4 linked regions of the Mus musculus genome follow. The protein of the gene in region 2 binds, or shares a complex with, the protein of the main gene of each other region. Links are inferred from orthologs where the notes say so. Each region holds a gene or a part of one and is shown on either strand. Other genes may lie near its edges.

Region 1 (4,144 bases), on a different chromosome or scaffold from region 2:
GGGGGAAGTGGCTCAGAATAGCTTAGAAAGGAGATATTTGCCCAGCTCTAGTGCATTAAAACTGTATTATATCCCCGCACTCAGGAGGCAGAGGCAGGCGGATTTCTGAGTTCGAGGCCAGCCTGGTCTACAAAGTGAGTTCCAGGACAGCCAGGGATATACAGAGAAACCCTGTCTGAAAAACTAAAAACCAAAAACCAAAAAAAAAAAAAAACCCATATTATTACATATTATAAAACAGTAATAGAAGTCTTTTAATCTGAGAACTAAATGATCTAAGGTGGAGTAGAAACTCCTAATTTATTACAACCTATTGGCACCCAACATAGGGTATCATTTTGTAGAAGTCTGATTCCAGTTCCTCCTCCTAGACCAATGCTCCCAGAAATAAGACTCAGACTCAAAATATATATCCAAATACCTTGGCCATACAGCTAGGCTCTTCTCTAACTATATAATTAAGATAACCACTTTACACTTCCACCAACAATGTGGCCTGTCCTATCTTAGAATGACAAGTAATGTCAACTTGCCCAGCCCAGGTGAAAAGATATGGAGGGAAGCTTTTGTTTTTTGCCTGCTTGCCCTCACTGACTATCAAGTTCATCTATCCTGTTACTGAGAGGCCCAAGATACTCCTTTGTTGGTGTTAGAACCTACTCTTTAGGATTCCAACATAGACTGAAAACTGGCAGCTCTCTTAAGACTTTCCAGGAACTCCAGTACATGATTGGGACTGTTGAGACATCCAGTCTCATGGACCAAACAACTATCAGATGCTTAGCCTTTCTGTCAGGAGACTGCCAGTTTTGGGCTACTCAGATCACAGGCCATAAGCCATTCTAATAAATATCTTTATATCACACTTATTCTATCAGCTCTGCTCCTTTGAAGAACCGTGAATAATACATCTAGCTAATACTTTTTATTGTTTCTTTAAAAAAATTATTTATTATATGTAAGTACACTGTAGTTGTCTTCAGACACACCAGAAGAGGGCGTCAGATCTCATTATGGATGGTTGTGAGCCACCATGTGGTTGCTGGGATTTGAACTTGGGACCTTTGGAAGAGCAGTCAGTGCTCTTAACTGCTGAGCCATCTCACCAGCCCCTTATTGTTCCTTTTAATGACAGCCAATAACTATATTATAAAGAATACGGAAGTTTAATCTCCTCTGCAGAAGAATTGACTCCTTAGCTCAGAACAATGAAACATCTATCTTGGTGTTCAATTCAAGATTAGAAATAAATGTAACAACAGTGGAGTGTGGTGGCATATTTCTTTAATTCCAGCACTGCTGAGGCAGAGTCTGGCAGGTCTCTGCAAATCCAAAGCGAGGCTGGTTTAACCGTTACATGGTGACAATGTCTACAAAATAATTTTATTCCTATTAACAGAGCTAGGGCTGGAGAGATGGCTCCGTGGTTAAGAGCACCACCTACTTTTCCCCTGCATGTACGAGGCACCCTCTTGACTATCTGTAACTCTGGTTCCAGGGGATTTGATGCCCTCTTCTGGCCTCCGAAGGCACTGCACATAAGAGGTGTACAGACAAGCATGCAGGTAAACATCCATCTTTAAAAGCAAACAAACCCCAAGCCACCAAAATTAACAGTTAATTTCTACAACAGGAGAGGGGGTGAGAGAAAGTAAGAGGACGGGAAGGGCTGTAGTGCTTTCGGACATTATATAGCCCTTAAACTCTGGCAGCACAAGATGGCAACGTAAACATTCCATCAAGGAAGGGGGGGGCTCATGAGGCGCCACCCCTCTCAGAGGAGCGGTTGGCGGTTAATGGGGGGCGGGGGAGTCATTGTTTTTCTTCAGTGGTCTAGTCACTGCTGTGTTGCCCTAGTTCCAGTAAATATCATACAAATATCCTTAAATAAATCCAGTGACAAAAAAAGGCCGGAAAGAAAGGCGAGGAGCCCTGTCGAGAAGGGTTCAGCGGGGGATAGAGACCATGACCTGAATGCATTAATACATGAATGAAACGATCAATTAATTTAAGAATACCAAAAAGCTAAACTAAAAAGAACTCTTTTACTTTCGAAACAATAGCTACAAAACTGAGAGGGTTAAGATTCCCTAAAACAAAGTGGGCCTCGGTCATTCGAAGCTCTCCTCATTCTGTCAAACACGTTTTCTCGTTTCTAATTTCACTCCTTTCCGTTTTTCAACAACCAGGTCTACCTTCCCGCCCTTTCGGGTCTTCGTGCCAGCTAGCAATGGTTACAGACCGCCACTTTCTCTGCCTATCTTAATCCTTTGCGTTCTTTGCAAGGGAGTCAAGCTGACTTCGTCCGTTGACCAGTCCCTAGTCCAACGCTCGCCACGGTTTTTTTTTTTTTTTTTGGTGGGAAAAGTCGCAAAAACGGGGGGCGGTGGGATATCAGACAAAGAGGGCAGCGAGTTCTAAGGATTTTTAGAAGCGATTGCTCCTCTTCTCCGGGGCTCGCCTTCTCTAGCCTGCCCTTCACACTGCCCGGTCCCGCCAGTGTCCCCCGGCGCCCCGCCCCCGCGCTCACCATCCAAAGCGTCGTCCGGATCTTCCGCCAAGCCTTGCGCGTCCTGCTCCACTAGGGTCCCGAAGAACTCCGCTACCAACTCCTTCATCCGGACCACGCCCGCCGACAGGCTCTGGAGAGGGTCCGCGTCTCCCGACGCCTCACAGGACACTCGTAGCCGCTGCGGCTCCCCGTCACAACCGACGTACTCGCCCGAAAGCTCCATGGCGACCACTCAGCTTCAACAGCGCGCCTCGGAGAAACGCCACCCGGAAGCGGAAGCCAGCCTGCGGCCGGGGCGGGCGGGAGAGGCGAGGAGGAGGAGGAATGACTTCCGATTTCCCGAAATTGGCCCGCCCATTTTCTTCCGTGTCCTTCCTTAGGATTGGCTGTCTGGTGCTCGGGCTCCGCCTCCTCACGGGGCCCCGCCTTCTCGCGACGCCCCTGGCGGCGGCCACTTTTCCCGCCTCCTCCTGGGCCCACGCAGCGGAGCCCGGTGACAGTTGAGGATGGCCGGAGCCGAGAGCCCCACCGAGTGCCAGGCGGAGCTGGAGCCCGTGGTGTCGCTGGTGGACGTGCTCGAGGAAGACGAGGAGTTGGAGAATGAGGCGTGCGCCGTCCTGGGCGGCAGCGACTCGGAGAAGTGCTCCTACTCGCAGGTGCGCGCGGCCCGGCTGCTCCCGCCGTCCTGTCTGTTTCCCGCTGGCCGCGGCCGGGCCCACTCACGGCGGCCCTTTACTCTGTGCTTCTACAGCCCCGGCCCGGCTGCCATTTCATCCTCAGCTTGTCGCCACCAGGGCTGTCCCTCGGTTCCGCTGATGGTACACTGCAGGCTCCGGTCCTCCAGTTGTCGCCTCTTGGTGGCCTGCTTTTCACGAGGTTGTTCTCGTGATCTCTCAAACCCAGATATTCTTCGCTCCACTTCTCCCACCGCCCAAGAATCTTAATTAGGGACCAGATGGGGAAAAGTAAAGGGAAAGTGGGCCGGCTTTGAAAATCTTCCGGTGAGGTTCGGCTTCCGGACACTCCTGTAGTCTAGTTTAACTGCTAGCTGCCCCCACCTCACCCCCTTTCTGGTTAAATGAAGTTTCGTGTGTATGTGCTATGTGACATCCCCTCTCTCTGGGGACTGGAAAGCCAAGAGGAGAAAAGGATCTGTTTGGCATTTGTGGGACCTTTTGAACGAGAGAGTTTGAGGGGCTGAGATGTAGTGTTTAGTGACGCATACTGTACATTTAAGTACTAACGTGGAAAAGGGTGGGTAGGAAGGAAACTTAACAACAAGGATGAGAATTGGTGGAAGGAAACAGGCTAACTATGCCCATGGGTGGAGTGGGAGACTGGGGTAGGAGTGAAGGGACTTGGAGTTATGGTGTGGCGTGGACTGAAGTCATAATACTAGTTGTCTTCGTTGACCAAGTTGGGTTTGCACTGTAAAATTGTTGAATAAATCTTGTATCCCAGAAGTAGTCACAGCATGGTCGCTGGTATTTAAATTTGGAGGATCATTGTTAGGTTTCAAACCCTGGACTCTGCTGTTGTGCCTATTTAACATATCAAAGCCGATGGTGGCCTCCTGGTTCTCCCTGCCCTTCTGTCCCTTCCGGGACTCTCCTGGCAGACATACCCAATCCA
Region 2 (4,134 bases):
AGTTTGTTCTCCGAGCACTTGGTCTCTTGGAGGCACAAGATATCTGGTGCTTCTTCCTTTACCCACTGAATGGAAATGTGGAAAATTAAAATTTTATGTGCTACATGCTATACACAGAAGGCATTCGAGCAGCAGAATATAAACAAATCTTGTATGTGAGTGAGTGTCCGTTAGTCACCTGACTGGGGTGCTGGAAACCTAACTGGAACCTTCGGAAGCACAATGTGCTGTCAACTGCAGAACGCTCGCTCCCATTTGGATCTTAAGTAGTTACTGGGATTGAGGATATGCTAAGTAACCCAAAAGCGGGGGGGGGGGGGGCAAACAGTCTAGACTAGTTTTTTTAAAAAATGAAATGAGGGAGTTGTTGGGGTTTATATAGGCTTTTAGGAGCCCTCCACCAACCCCCCGGGGGGGCATCTACAGACGCGAAAAATAACGTTTCAAAGGAAACAAGATGATTGGTCCTTAAGACGAGTCAACCAAGAAAGGTCTACTTCCCGATTCTGAACTGTACTCACATCCAAACCTTTCTTTTTAATCCAGGCTCGAAGCCCATCCACATTCCAGGAGCATATCTTGAGTGTGGCAGATTTGCCACTGGGTGAGGTTTTCTGATCTGGAGGGTCCTCGTACAGGACAGGGCCCTCTCCCGCGGCCTCCTTCTCGGTTTTCTTTGCTGCCCCCTTACTCTTCTTGGTCTCTGGCTCTATAAAATGGGTAAAGTAGTAAGAGCTGGCAGTTCCAACCTCAGGCCAGAGTTAACTCTAACCTCATTAGGCGTTCTAATTACACAAACTTCTCGGAACCCAGCAACGTAACTTGGTCCATATTTACCGTAATTCATGGCGGTCTAGTAAAGCCCTGAACTTGCCTGGGGGGTGGGGTTGGGCACGCTTACCCGACTTGGGTTCTTCCCCGTCGTCGGCCGCCGCTTTCTTTCCCCGCTTTGGCATCGCTGTGACGAAAGCCCTTAGGCTCCTGGAGCACCGAAGCAGTGTTTACTGCGCTGCCTGCAGATAAGAAACGATGAAATCAAAACACAAGGAGAGGCAGCGAGGCGCCTCCCGTAGGCGTTTGCACACCCGGGGCTGCGGTTCTTCCGGCCTGGCCCGCCACGAGCAATGCAGCCCCTCGCCCGCGTTAGGCCCTTCAGCGAGCAGGGTCGCGAAACGCGCTAGAACAAGGTACCTGACCTCCCAACGAAGCCAGAGACCCTCACGGCACAAAGAATGGAGTCTGCCTGTTCCCACGTGGGCGATTGGTGTGGTCACGTGATTCGAGGGCTCCGCCCCCACGTGGTTCTGGAGCGCGATGATTGGTCCTCCTGGCACCTCGTGACATAACTTCTGGCGCCCGAAAGTCCCTTCGCTTGGTTCTGGGTTGTTCGTGGTAGTGCCGGTTACAGCTCGTCACTCGGCCTCACGACCGGGAGCCGTGAGGCACCATGCCCGCGGTGCTGGGGTTCGAAGGCAGCGCCAACAAGATCGGCGTGGGCGTGGTCCGCGACGGCACGGTGCTGGCGAACCCGCGGCGCACTTACGTCACGGCCCCGGGCACCGGTGAGTGGCTGCGGCCGCGCTTCCCGGCTCCTTGTCCAGTTTTGTTCTGTCCGATATTCCACACTGTTGCCTATGTCAGATTTTACAGGCTTCCCCACTCCAGACTCCCCTGATTGTGCGTTTGGTTGGTAACTTTTGACTAGAAGAGTCAGACACCTGGGGCTAGGTCACGTGGGTTCGTTCAGGTTTTGTTTTTGGGTTTTTTCATGCATTTTTTTGAGACAGGGTCTCTCCTTGTAACCTTTACTGACCTGGAACTTGCTGTGTAGACTCTTGACTGCTGGAATTAAAGGCATGAGCCACTACCCCCGGTTGTATTCTGATTTTATCGAGCAACTTTAATGAGCTAAGCATCCGAAAATATGTGTTCCGAGGCAGCGCTGTAGATGCACATAGAGATTGGTTTACACTGCACCGTGATAAATATAAAAGTAATCTACAACGAGGAGGGAAAGCTGGAGGAGTTCCTGTATTTTCGATCTGTTTTAGGTGTCTGTTTTTCGGTACTTTTAGAATGGAAATGGGTATCAGTGGGTTTGGACAGTTATGTGAAAAGCACCAGGCACTGCACGACTCTCAATATAGTTACAAGTTGTATTTTGCCTACCCTCTCCCAAAACTTGCACACACATATAACCTGCATGTACCTCTGAAGGCTCCCTAAGCAGGTGAAATGTTTCAGGTTACATAGTAGAAATATATGTGTGTTTAGGACTCACTCTTGTAGGCTCTAAAGCACAGAGGCTGAGATACGTGTGGTTAAAGGGAAGCTACTGACAGTTGTAGTGCTGTAGTTATCATATGTTAAGTCCAACGATATGACCTTTCATAGGGTTCTATGGAATTACAGGAAAAGTTAACAAAGAGTAGGAAGTTTGTAAAACTCAGATTGCTCCTGAACATTGTGTGTGGACCAGCACCATCTCTGAAACCCCAGTAGCCTATGTAGAGGTTGGAAAGCTAACAGAGTGTGTGGTGCAGTCTGTAATGGTGACACCTGGGAGACTGCGACAGGATCTGAGTTTAAGGCTGTCCTATGTTGTGACCTTGTCTCAAAAGTAGAGATTTGAAAAGAGAATATCTTGGGCTGGAGAAATGGCTCAGTGGTTAAGAGCACTGATTGCTCTTCCAGAGGTCCTGAGTTCAATTCCCAGCATTCACATGGTGGCTCACAACCATCTATAATAGGATCCAATGCCCTCTTCTGGTGTGTCTGAAGACAGCTACAGTGTACATACATAAAATAAATAAATCTTTAGAAAAAAAAGAAAAGAGGATGTCTTAAAACCTAGGCAAGTAGAGTATGTTTTTCTACATCGTTAAAACGTGTCTTTGTTGGTTTTTTACTTCTTTTTTTTTAATATTATTTTTATTACGTATTTTCCTCAATTACATTTCCAATGCTATCCCAAAAGTCCCCCATACCCCCGCCCCCCACTCTCCTACCCACCATTCCCACTTTTTGGCCCTGGCGTTCCCCTGTACTGGGGCATATAAAGATTGCATGTCCAATGGGCCTCTCTTTCTAGTGATGGCCGACTAGGCCATCATTTGATACATATGCAGCTAGAGTCAAGAGCTCCGGGATACTGGTTAGTTCATAATGTTGTTGCACCTACAGGGTTGCAGATCTCTTTGGCTCCTTGGATACTTTTTCTAGCTCCTCCATTAGGGGCCCTGTGATCCATCCCAGAGCTGACTGTGAGCATCCACTTATGTGTTTGCTAGGCCCCGGCCTAGTCTCACAAGAGACAGCTATATCAGGGTCCTTTCAGCAAACGCTTGCTAGTGTATGAAATGGTGTCATCGTTTGGGATGACTGTCTATGGGATAGATCCCTGGATATGGCAGTCTCTAGATGGTCCATCCTTTTGTCTCAGCTCCAAACTTTGTCTCTGTAACTCCTTCCATGGGTGATTGCTTCCAATTCTAAAAAGGGGCAAAGTGTCCACACTTTGGTCTTCATTCTTCTTCAGTTTCATGTGTTTTGCAAATTGTATCTTATATATCGGGTATACTAAGTTTCTAAGCTAATATCCACTTATCAGTGAGTACATATCATTTGAGTTCTTTTGTGATTGTGTTACCTCACTCAGGATGATGCCCTCCAGGTCCAACCATTTGCCTAGGAATTTCATAAATTCATTCTTTTTAATAGCTGAGTAGTACTCCCTGTGTAAATGTACCACATTTTTTGTATCCATTCCTCTGTTGAGGGGCATCTGGGTTCTTTCCATCTTCTGGCCATTACAAATAAGGCTGCTATGAACATAGTGGAGCATGTGTCCTTCTTACCGGTTGGGACATCTTCTGGATATATGCCCAGGAGAGGTATTGCGGGATCCTCCAGTAGTACTATACTATACTATGTCCAATTTTCTGAGGAACCGCCAGACTGATTTCCAGAGTGGTTGTACAAGCTTGCAATCCCACCAACAATGGAGGAGTGTTCCTCTTTCTCCACATCCTCGCCAGCATCTGCTGTCACCTGAATTTTTGATCTTAGCCATTCTGACTGGTGTGAGATGGAATCTCAGGGTTGTTTTGATTTGTATTTCCCTGATGACTAAGA
Region 3 (4,128 bases), on a different chromosome or scaffold from region 2:
CACAGGGGAAAAATTCCTAAACAGAAAGCAATGGCTTGTGCTGTAAGATCAAGAATTGACAAATGGGACCTCATAAAATTGCAAAGCTTCTGCAAGGGAAAAGACACTGTCAATAAGACAAAAAGGCCACCAACAGATTGGGAAAGGATTTTTACCAATCCTAAACCAGATAGGGGACTAATATCCAATATATACAAAGAGCTCAAGAAGCTAGACTCCAGAAATTCAAATAACCCCATTAAAAATGGGGTTCAGAGCTAAACAAAGAATTCTCACCTGAGGAATACCGAATGGCTGAGAAGCACCTGAAAAAATGTTCAACATCCATAATCATCAGGGAAATGCAAATCAAAACAACCCTGAGATTCCACCTCACACCAGTCAGAATGGCTAAGATCAAAAATTCAGGAGACAGCAGATGCTGGCGAGGATGTGGAGAAAGAGGAACACTCCTCCATTGTTGGTGGGATTGCAAGCTTGTACAACCACTCTGGAAGTCAGTCTGGAGGTTCCTCAGAAAGTTGGACATAATACTACCAGAAGATCCAAAAATACCTCTCCTGGGCATATACACAGAAGTTCCAACTGGTAATAAGAACACATGCTCCACTATGTTCATAGCAGCCTTATTTATAATAGCCAGAAGCTGGAAAGAACCCAGATGTCCCTCAACAGAAAAATGGATACAGAAAATGTGGTACATTTACACAATGGAGTACTACTCAGCTATTAAAAACAATGGATTTATGAAAGTTTTGGACAAATGGATGTATCTGGAGGATATCATCCTTAGTGAGGTAACCCAATCACAAAAGAACTCACATGATATGTACTCACTGATAAGTGGATATTAGCCCAGAAACATAGAACACCCAAGATACAATTTGCAAAACACAAGAAAATCAAGAAGAGGGAAGACCAATGGGTGGATATTTCATTCCTCCTTAGAATAGGGAACAAAATACCCATGAAAGGAGTTACAGAGACAAAGTTTGGAGCTAAGAGGAAAGATGGACTATCCAGAGACTACCCCACCCAGAGATCCATCCCATAATCAGCCACCAAACCCAGACCCTATTGCATATGCCAGAAAGATTTTGCTGAAGGGACCCTGTTATAGATGTCTCATATGTGGCTATGCCAGTGCCTGTTAAATACAGAAGTGGATGCTCAGTCATCTATAAGATGGAACACAGGGCTCCCAATGGAGAAGCTAGAGAAAGCACTCAAGGAGCTGAAGGGGTCTGCAACCCTATAGGTGGAACAACAATATGAACTAACCCGTACCGCCAGAGCTCATATCTCTAGCTGCATATGTAGCAGAAGATGGCCTAGTCAGCCATCACAGGGGAATGCCAGGGCCAAGAAGCGGGAGTGGGTGGGTAGGGGAGCAGGGCGGAGGGAGGGTATAGGGAACTTTCAGGATAGCATTTGAAATGTATATAAAAAAATCTAATAAAAAAAAAACAAAAAAAAGAACTATGTCAAATGTTTTCTCAGCATCAAATAAAATGATCATGTGATTTTTTTCTTTGAAAAAAAAAAAAAAAAAGAGTCATGTTGACATTTAGTTCCCGATGTGTGATATTAAACGGTGAGGCCAAGTATGGAATTAAGAAGGTGGCTAGGACTTTGTACTAAGAGATAAAAATAAAAAATAATTAATCCGCTCATATCACTATAAAGTTAATAGTTTACCTCAGGGGCAATTGGGGCCTTTGAACTCAAAATTTTGTTTTTTGGGTTTTGTTTTGCTCTGCCTTCCAAGTGCTGGGATTAAAGGTGTGTGCCACCGCTGCCCAGGTCAAAATTTTGTTAATCCAGTTATATGATTATCAAATAAAGGCTTCTATCTCCAAAGCGATTCTATTACAAATGAAGTTTGCCTAGCCTCCTAACCTGCTCCCTGGCTTGAGGCAGACGCTGGCAGATCTCTGAGTTTAAGGCCAGCCTGGTCTACAGTATGAGTTCAGGACATCCAGGGCTACACAGAGAAACCCTGTCTAGGAAAACACAACAAAACACCTCACCCACCATGAGGTACTGTGGTATTAGCAACAGGAGGTGGTCTAAGGCTTCTCACGTCCAGTGTCCACGTTCTGACTCTATATCCACATCTCTCCTGACTCATCCTTGTCACAAGCACTGCCATCACCTCTTATCAATAACACCTTAACAGCGTCCTCATCCGGGCCCTGTCACCAGTAATGCAATTCTAGCCTATCCCAATGGTCACGGGGTCCTTCAGGAGGAAGTCAGGCTGAAGCTAAAGCACTAACTATGTCACTGGGACCAGCATGTAGTCTGGACCCTGCCTGACTCCTCTCCAACCCGGATGGCATGGCCTGCCCTCGGCTTAGGCTGGTCAGGCTTTCCAACAGGGCGTCCCTACTACCCTCAGGGCTTCTTGCCTGGGTCCCTCCTGCCAAGGCCGCTCGCTGGCCCGGGTAAAGCCTGGGGTGGAGGCGACTCCGCTCTCCGCCGCGCCTCCCTCCCAGCGCTGGGCCTGGCTGTGGCTGTGCGGTCCGCACGCGGCTCCTCCAGCCTCAGCCTCGGGCATCGCCTGCAGGGGGCGCCCCGGCGCGCGCAGCCGAGCGGCCTTCCGTCCCGAGCCGCGCTCCTGAGACCATGTCGCTCTCCACCGGGGCTCGCGACAAACACGGGCAAAGGCACGCGTACTTCGCCCGCAAAACTGTCCGCAGGGAAAGAGCAACAGGGCGGAACTCACCCTGCATCCTACGCCCGCATCAGAAGATCGTCCCCTAGGAAACTTAGCTCTCTACTTCCGGAAGTGCTTAATGTTTGATAGGTGGGCGGGCGCCGAGGCGCCCAGTTTCCGGTGGGCGTGCTCCTGGCTCTAAAATGGAAGTGGAGCGGACTCCTAGTACCGCTAGAAGCTGCTGGCGGAGGACAAGGAGAACTAACTCTAATTTGTCCCGGCTTCGGAGGTGGAAAAGCCCCCACTGGTCGGGCCTAGAAGCTGAGGTATGGTGTTGTCAGCCCTGTTCTTAGCCTGTGTTGAACACTCTTTTCCTGTGAAAAAGAAAAATATTCACCAGGATGGGAGTCACAATTTATCAGAGCTTTCCAGACTCAGTTTACCGAGTATGCTCTTGGGTGGAAACGGGGATCTGGCGTGGTTGTGGCTTACATTGAAGGAGCGCTTCCGGTGCTTGGAGATCTAGAGACAAGTGGACTTTCACAGCTGTGACAGAGGAAAGAGGCAAATTTCTTGAGCAGACCAGAGGACGCGACGCTGGGATCAAGTCCCCAGAAGCCATCCGCCTCAGGGAATTATACAAGACCAGGGTACTGCTCACGGGGAAGGGTGGCCACCAAGATAGTGAGTCCGGATTTTAGTCCTTGCTACCTGTCAAGAGAACCCAATGAATAAAGAGCTTGAATCTTAAAATTAGTTTATCCAGAGAGAACCTGCAGTCTGAAATAGTAGGTTAATTACCCTACAGACATGCATTCCCTGCCATCTTCACCCAGCAGAATATATAAGGAGGAGATAGGGCCATAGGCAAAGACAGCCAATAATCCTGGAGCTCCGTTTTGTTTTGCCTCTCTGGCCAGATGGTCAACATGAGGACACTTCTCATATGATGTTTGCTTCTTACTTTCTTGGCTTTCTCCTCGTCTGCAGGTGTTTGGACACAGGCACATTGGAACTCAGAATCTAATTAATTTCTACTGATAATCGACCTTACACCCCTACAGAGATACCTGGGAGGTTAATTCAAAACAAATGAGAGGGTGTCCGTTTCGTTTCCTTTCCTCAGTGTGAAGTACAAGTGTGTCTTCATAATCCAGAATATGAAAGTGTCCCTATCTGTCCCCAATCATTCTTCACTATCAGTAGCAACTCTGAGATCTGTGTCATATGAAAGATGACATCCTGACACCGTGCACCTGGTTGGTTGTCGGAATGACTTCTTTTCTTGTAAGAGAATTCTCTGGCACAAAAAGATGTACATCAGAACATACCATATGTAGCAGGAGCAGCTGTGTCTTGGAGTGAGAATTTCTGAAATATGCTTTGTTCTGAAACAGATATAGACAATAAAGGTCTGAACCAAAGTTAGAAGACAGTGTCAGGTAGCCACATATAAAACCATTTCTCTG
Region 4 (3,268 bases), on a different chromosome or scaffold from region 2:
AGGGCTTTTGAAGGTGTTCAAGGAGAGGAGCTGGAGCTGCTTCAGTAATTAAAACTTGCTGCTCTTGCAAAGGACCTGGATTCAGTTCCCAGCACCCACATGACAGTTTATAACCACCCACAACTCCAGTTACAGGATTCACATAGATACCAGGACCTGCACACAGTAGGTGCACTTATATACAAACAGGGAAAACACTCAAACACATACAATAAAAATAAATACATTTAGCTGGGGTGAGGGTTGTGTTTTAATCCTGGCACTCAGAAGACAAAGGCAGGAAGATCTCTGAGTTTGAGGCCAGCCTGGTCTACAGAACAACTTCCAGGACAGCCAGACCTACATAGAGTCTCTCTCTCCTCTTTCTCCTCTCTGTCCTCTCTGTCCCCCCTCTCTCCTTCCTTTCCCGATCCCTCTACCACCACCCTCAACAGGGCCTCACTATATAGCTGTCCTAGAACTCACTATGAAGACCAGGTTGACTTCAACTTCACAGCCACCTGCTCTGCCTCCAAAGTGTCGGGATTAAAGGCATGTAACCCTGGCTAAGAGAACTTATCTGGAAAAATAAAGAAACCTCTTGCTTGCTGATACTCAAAATCTCATTTCACTTCATTTGTTTGTTGATGGGGTTTTCTGTTTTGTGACTGCTTTTGAGATGATATAAATATGTAAGTCTGGATAGCCTAGAAGTGGTTATGTAGATCAGGCTGACCTCCAACTTAAGCAAAGAACTATTCCCACCTCCTAAATCAGTGGTTCTCAACCTTCCTAATGCTGCAACCCTTTAATATGTTCCTCATGTTATGGTGACCCCAACCATAAAATTATTTTCATTGCTACCTCATAACTGTAATTTTGTTACTGTTATGAGTTGTAATGTAAATATCTGATATGCAGGATATCTGATATGTGACCCCAACTTGGGTCAACCCACAGATTGAGAACCATGGTCCTAAATGCTAAGATTTCTTCAGGCATCACCACACCAGGCCACTTGACAGTTTTTTGGTTTGATAGTGTTTTGGTTTTTGTTGTGGTTTTGTTTTTTAGAAAATATCACCTTAGGTCCCTTTTAGGAAACTGTAGGGACAACTTGGCATGGTGATGCACTTTGGAGGCAGAAGCTGACCAGATCAACCTATAAATCCCTGGAGAGTCCTCCTGCCCACCCCCACCCCCCCCCCCCACCGCTCCTCCCCGCCCCGCCTCCCTCCCCCCCCCCCGCCCCTCGCCCCTCCCCGGCCCCACCACCTTCCCCGTTCGCGCAGGCGCGTGTGGAATGGCAGCCTGTGCGAGGGGCGGAGCTTCCGGAGGATAAGGCGGGTTCTGGGCCGCAGCAATGGCAGAGGCGGCGGGCTGGTAACGCGAAGGTGGGTTGAAAGGAGGAACAGCAGCAGACATGCAGACAGCACACACAGGTTTAAGCCACACTGCAGATGGCGCCGATGGTCAGACTAGCCGCTGTTGTCCTGGTAATGCAGGCACAAAGGCAGTTATTCCCAGTGGAGCTCACCCTGTTGCAAGAGCACTGGAAGCCTCCCGAAATTCCAGCAAAAGCATGGTGCCTTTAACCCAAAGGCCTGGAACCCGACATCACAGATTGTATCCTACCGGACATGGACATATCTGCGGGATGCTTGAAACAGGGAAGCGGGTAGTCTGGAGGAGGGTAAAAAAAGAAAGAAAAGAAAAGAAAAAAAAGCAGGGAGGAGGGAAGCAGAGGGACCCGCTGATTGGGGTATGGCCTGGGCATGAAAAGTTCCTTGACAACAGAGGAGGGGCAGCAGGGTGGAGGGAAATGAGCAGGAATGGCCCAAGCAATGTGGAAGATATAGCCTGGGGAGCTTAGACCAGATGCGATGATTTTAGAGGGGTAAGGAGGCAAAGTTGATTCAAGATGGTGCCTTTCCTGAGTCTCTACCAGCTCCCTCTTCGTGCCTTTCCCGACCTCTTTGGAGGCAGAAATCGCCTGTGGGTCCCTAGTTCCAGATGTCGAACCACATCGAGGACTGGTAGGGAAGGAGCTTAAAGTGAGCGGCTGCATGCTGGAGGTGTAAGTGTTGAAAGAGTCTAGGATGCTGGGTAGGTGTCTGGGCCATCCTCCACCCTAGGCTGCACTTCCTCAGAGACATCATCACACTAGAGTGATTTTTAAGGAAAGGCATGATGCACTGGACCAGTCTAGTCTCTACCTGCAGTACAGTGGATGCCTGACAGATGAAGAAAGGGTAGGAGCCAAGAGAAAGGCAGATGGTCTGATTACTGTGAGTTCCAGGCCAGCCAGATCCACATAGCAATCCCTAAGCCAACCATGGCTACATAGTGAGAGATTTTCTATCTATTTCCAAAAAAAAAAAAATAAATAAAAGGAAAGAAATAAGGGTAGAAACTACCAGTTTGAATTTGATGTTCTTTTCCTCACTCTTAGACGCTGGATCGCGGAAGATTCTCGCCTCCTCCGACTTTCCATCATCAACTTTCTTGACCAGCTTTCCCTAGTGGTGAACACCATACAGCTCTTTGGGCCCCCAGTTTCCTGTTAAGCCTGGCTGGGGACCCATGTCTGACCTTATCTCCGTCTCCTCCTAAGCAATACAATTTTCCCTAGGGAAAAGATTCTAGAAATAGTAACTACTACATAAATGTGGGGGCCTAATATTTTTTTCCTGATTTGGTCCTCAGGCACTTAGGAGCCATTTGGTCTGGTGCTTCAATGTTTGTTGCTGAAGAAAATAAAGCTATGTTGCTAATCTGCATTTGAGCTTATTTTCAGCCTCTAAATTTTCTTTGGTTTTTATTTTGTGTTGGAGGAGGGGCTCTGGAATTCAGGTGGTTTCTTTTGTTTGTTTTTTCTTTTCTTTGTTTTAAAAAGATTTATTTATTCATTTTTATGCATATGAGTACACTATAGCTGTACAGATGGTTTTGCGTCTTCATGTGGTTGTTGGGAATTGTATTTAGGACCGCTGCTCGCTCCGGTCAACCCCATTCGCTACGGTCAGCCAGCTTGCTCCAGTCAACTCCGTTTGCTCAGTCCCTGCTCACTCCAGCCCGAAGATTTATTTATTATTATACATAAGTGCACTTTAGCTGTCTTTAGACACACCAGAAGAGGGTGTCAGATCTCATTACGAGTGGTTGTGAGCCACCATGTGGTTGCTGGGATTTGAACTCGGGACCTTTGGAAGAGTGGTCAGTGCTCTTAACAGCTGAGCCATCTCGCCAGCCCTTTTTCTTTTTTTTTAAGACAGGGTTTCTCGTGTAG

What was found. Proteins that work in one complex are often made in the same cells at the same time.
Region 1: Osgep (region 2) and Gon7 share a complex: the UniProt entries of both Homo sapiens proteins name them as parts of the EKC/KEOPS complex. The link is inferred for Mus musculus from reciprocal best matches to the Homo sapiens genes OSGEP and GON7.
Region 3: Osgep (region 2) and Tprkb share a complex: the UniProt entries of both Homo sapiens proteins name them as parts of the EKC/KEOPS complex. The link is inferred for Mus musculus from reciprocal best matches to the Homo sapiens genes OSGEP and TPRKB.
Region 4: the proteins of Osgep (region 2) and Lage3 are in contact, whole or in part, in a crystal structure (PDB 6GWJ), measured with the Homo sapiens proteins. The link is inferred for Mus musculus from reciprocal best matches to the Homo sapiens genes OSGEP and LAGE3. Residues at the interface, in NP_060277.1 of Homo sapiens: Arg50, Ile53, Leu54, Asp55, Leu57, Gln58, Leu61, Gln69, Ala84, Val87, Ser88, Val91, Val92, Arg94, Thr95, Val96, Gln98, Leu99, Trp100, Asn101, Leu315, Ser318, Gly319, Val320; in NP_006005.2 of Homo sapiens: Glu76, Ile77, Gly80, Ser81, Leu82, Pro84, Asp85, Asp125, Gln126, Leu129, Val130, Arg132, Thr133, Met134, Arg136, Phe137, Gly138, Pro139, Pro140, Val141, Arg143.

What each region holds. Positions count from the first base shown.
Region 1 is NC_000078.6:102,755,011-102,759,154, forward strand, and holds the start of Gon7 (EKC/KEOPS complex subunit GON7), read right to left. Parts: upstream 2,801-4,144; 5' UTR 2,736-2,800; coding exon 2,531-2,735; intron 1-2,530. Other genes in the region: Gm20604 (AK010878-Moap1 protein), read right to left, coding at 2,531-2,735; putative E3 ubiquitin-protein ligase UBR7, read left to right, coding at 3,019-3,168. UniProt on the Homo sapiens protein: Component of the EKC/KEOPS complex that is required for the formation of a threonylcarbamoyl group on adenosine at position 37 (t(6)A37) in tRNAs that read codons beginning with adenine.
Region 2 is NC_000080.6:50,922,092-50,926,225, reverse strand, and holds the start of Osgep (probable tRNA N6-adenosine threonylcarbamoyltransferase), read left to right. Parts: upstream 1-1,332; 5' UTR 1,333-1,447; coding exon 1,448-1,562; intron 1,563-4,134. Other genes in the region: Apex1 (DNA-(apurinic or apyrimidinic site) lyase), read right to left, coding at 1-65, 522-709, 902-956. UniProt on the Homo sapiens protein: Component of the EKC/KEOPS complex that is required for the formation of a threonylcarbamoyl group on adenosine at position 37 (t(6)A37) in tRNAs that read codons beginning with adenine.
Region 3 is NC_000072.6:85,914,391-85,918,518, reverse strand, and holds the start of Tprkb (EKC/KEOPS complex subunit Tprkb), read right to left. Parts: upstream 2,801-4,128; 5' UTR 2,729-2,800; exon of another isoform or gene 2,605-2,728; intron 2,549-2,604; exon of another isoform or gene 2,412-2,548; intron 1-2,411. UniProt on the Homo sapiens protein: Component of the EKC/KEOPS complex that is required for the formation of a threonylcarbamoyl group on adenosine at position 37 (t(6)A37) in tRNAs that read codons beginning with adenine.
Region 4 is NC_000086.7:74,351,662-74,354,929, reverse strand, and holds Lage3 (EKC/KEOPS complex subunit Lage3), read left to right. Parts: upstream 1-1,311; 5' UTR 1,312-1,402; coding exon 1,403-1,605; intron 1,606-1,927; coding exon 1,928-2,056; intron 2,057-2,431; coding exon 2,432-2,546; 3' UTR 2,547-2,768; downstream 2,769-3,268. UniProt on the Homo sapiens protein: Component of the EKC/KEOPS complex that is required for the formation of a threonylcarbamoyl group on adenosine at position 37 (t(6)A37) in tRNAs that read codons beginning with adenine.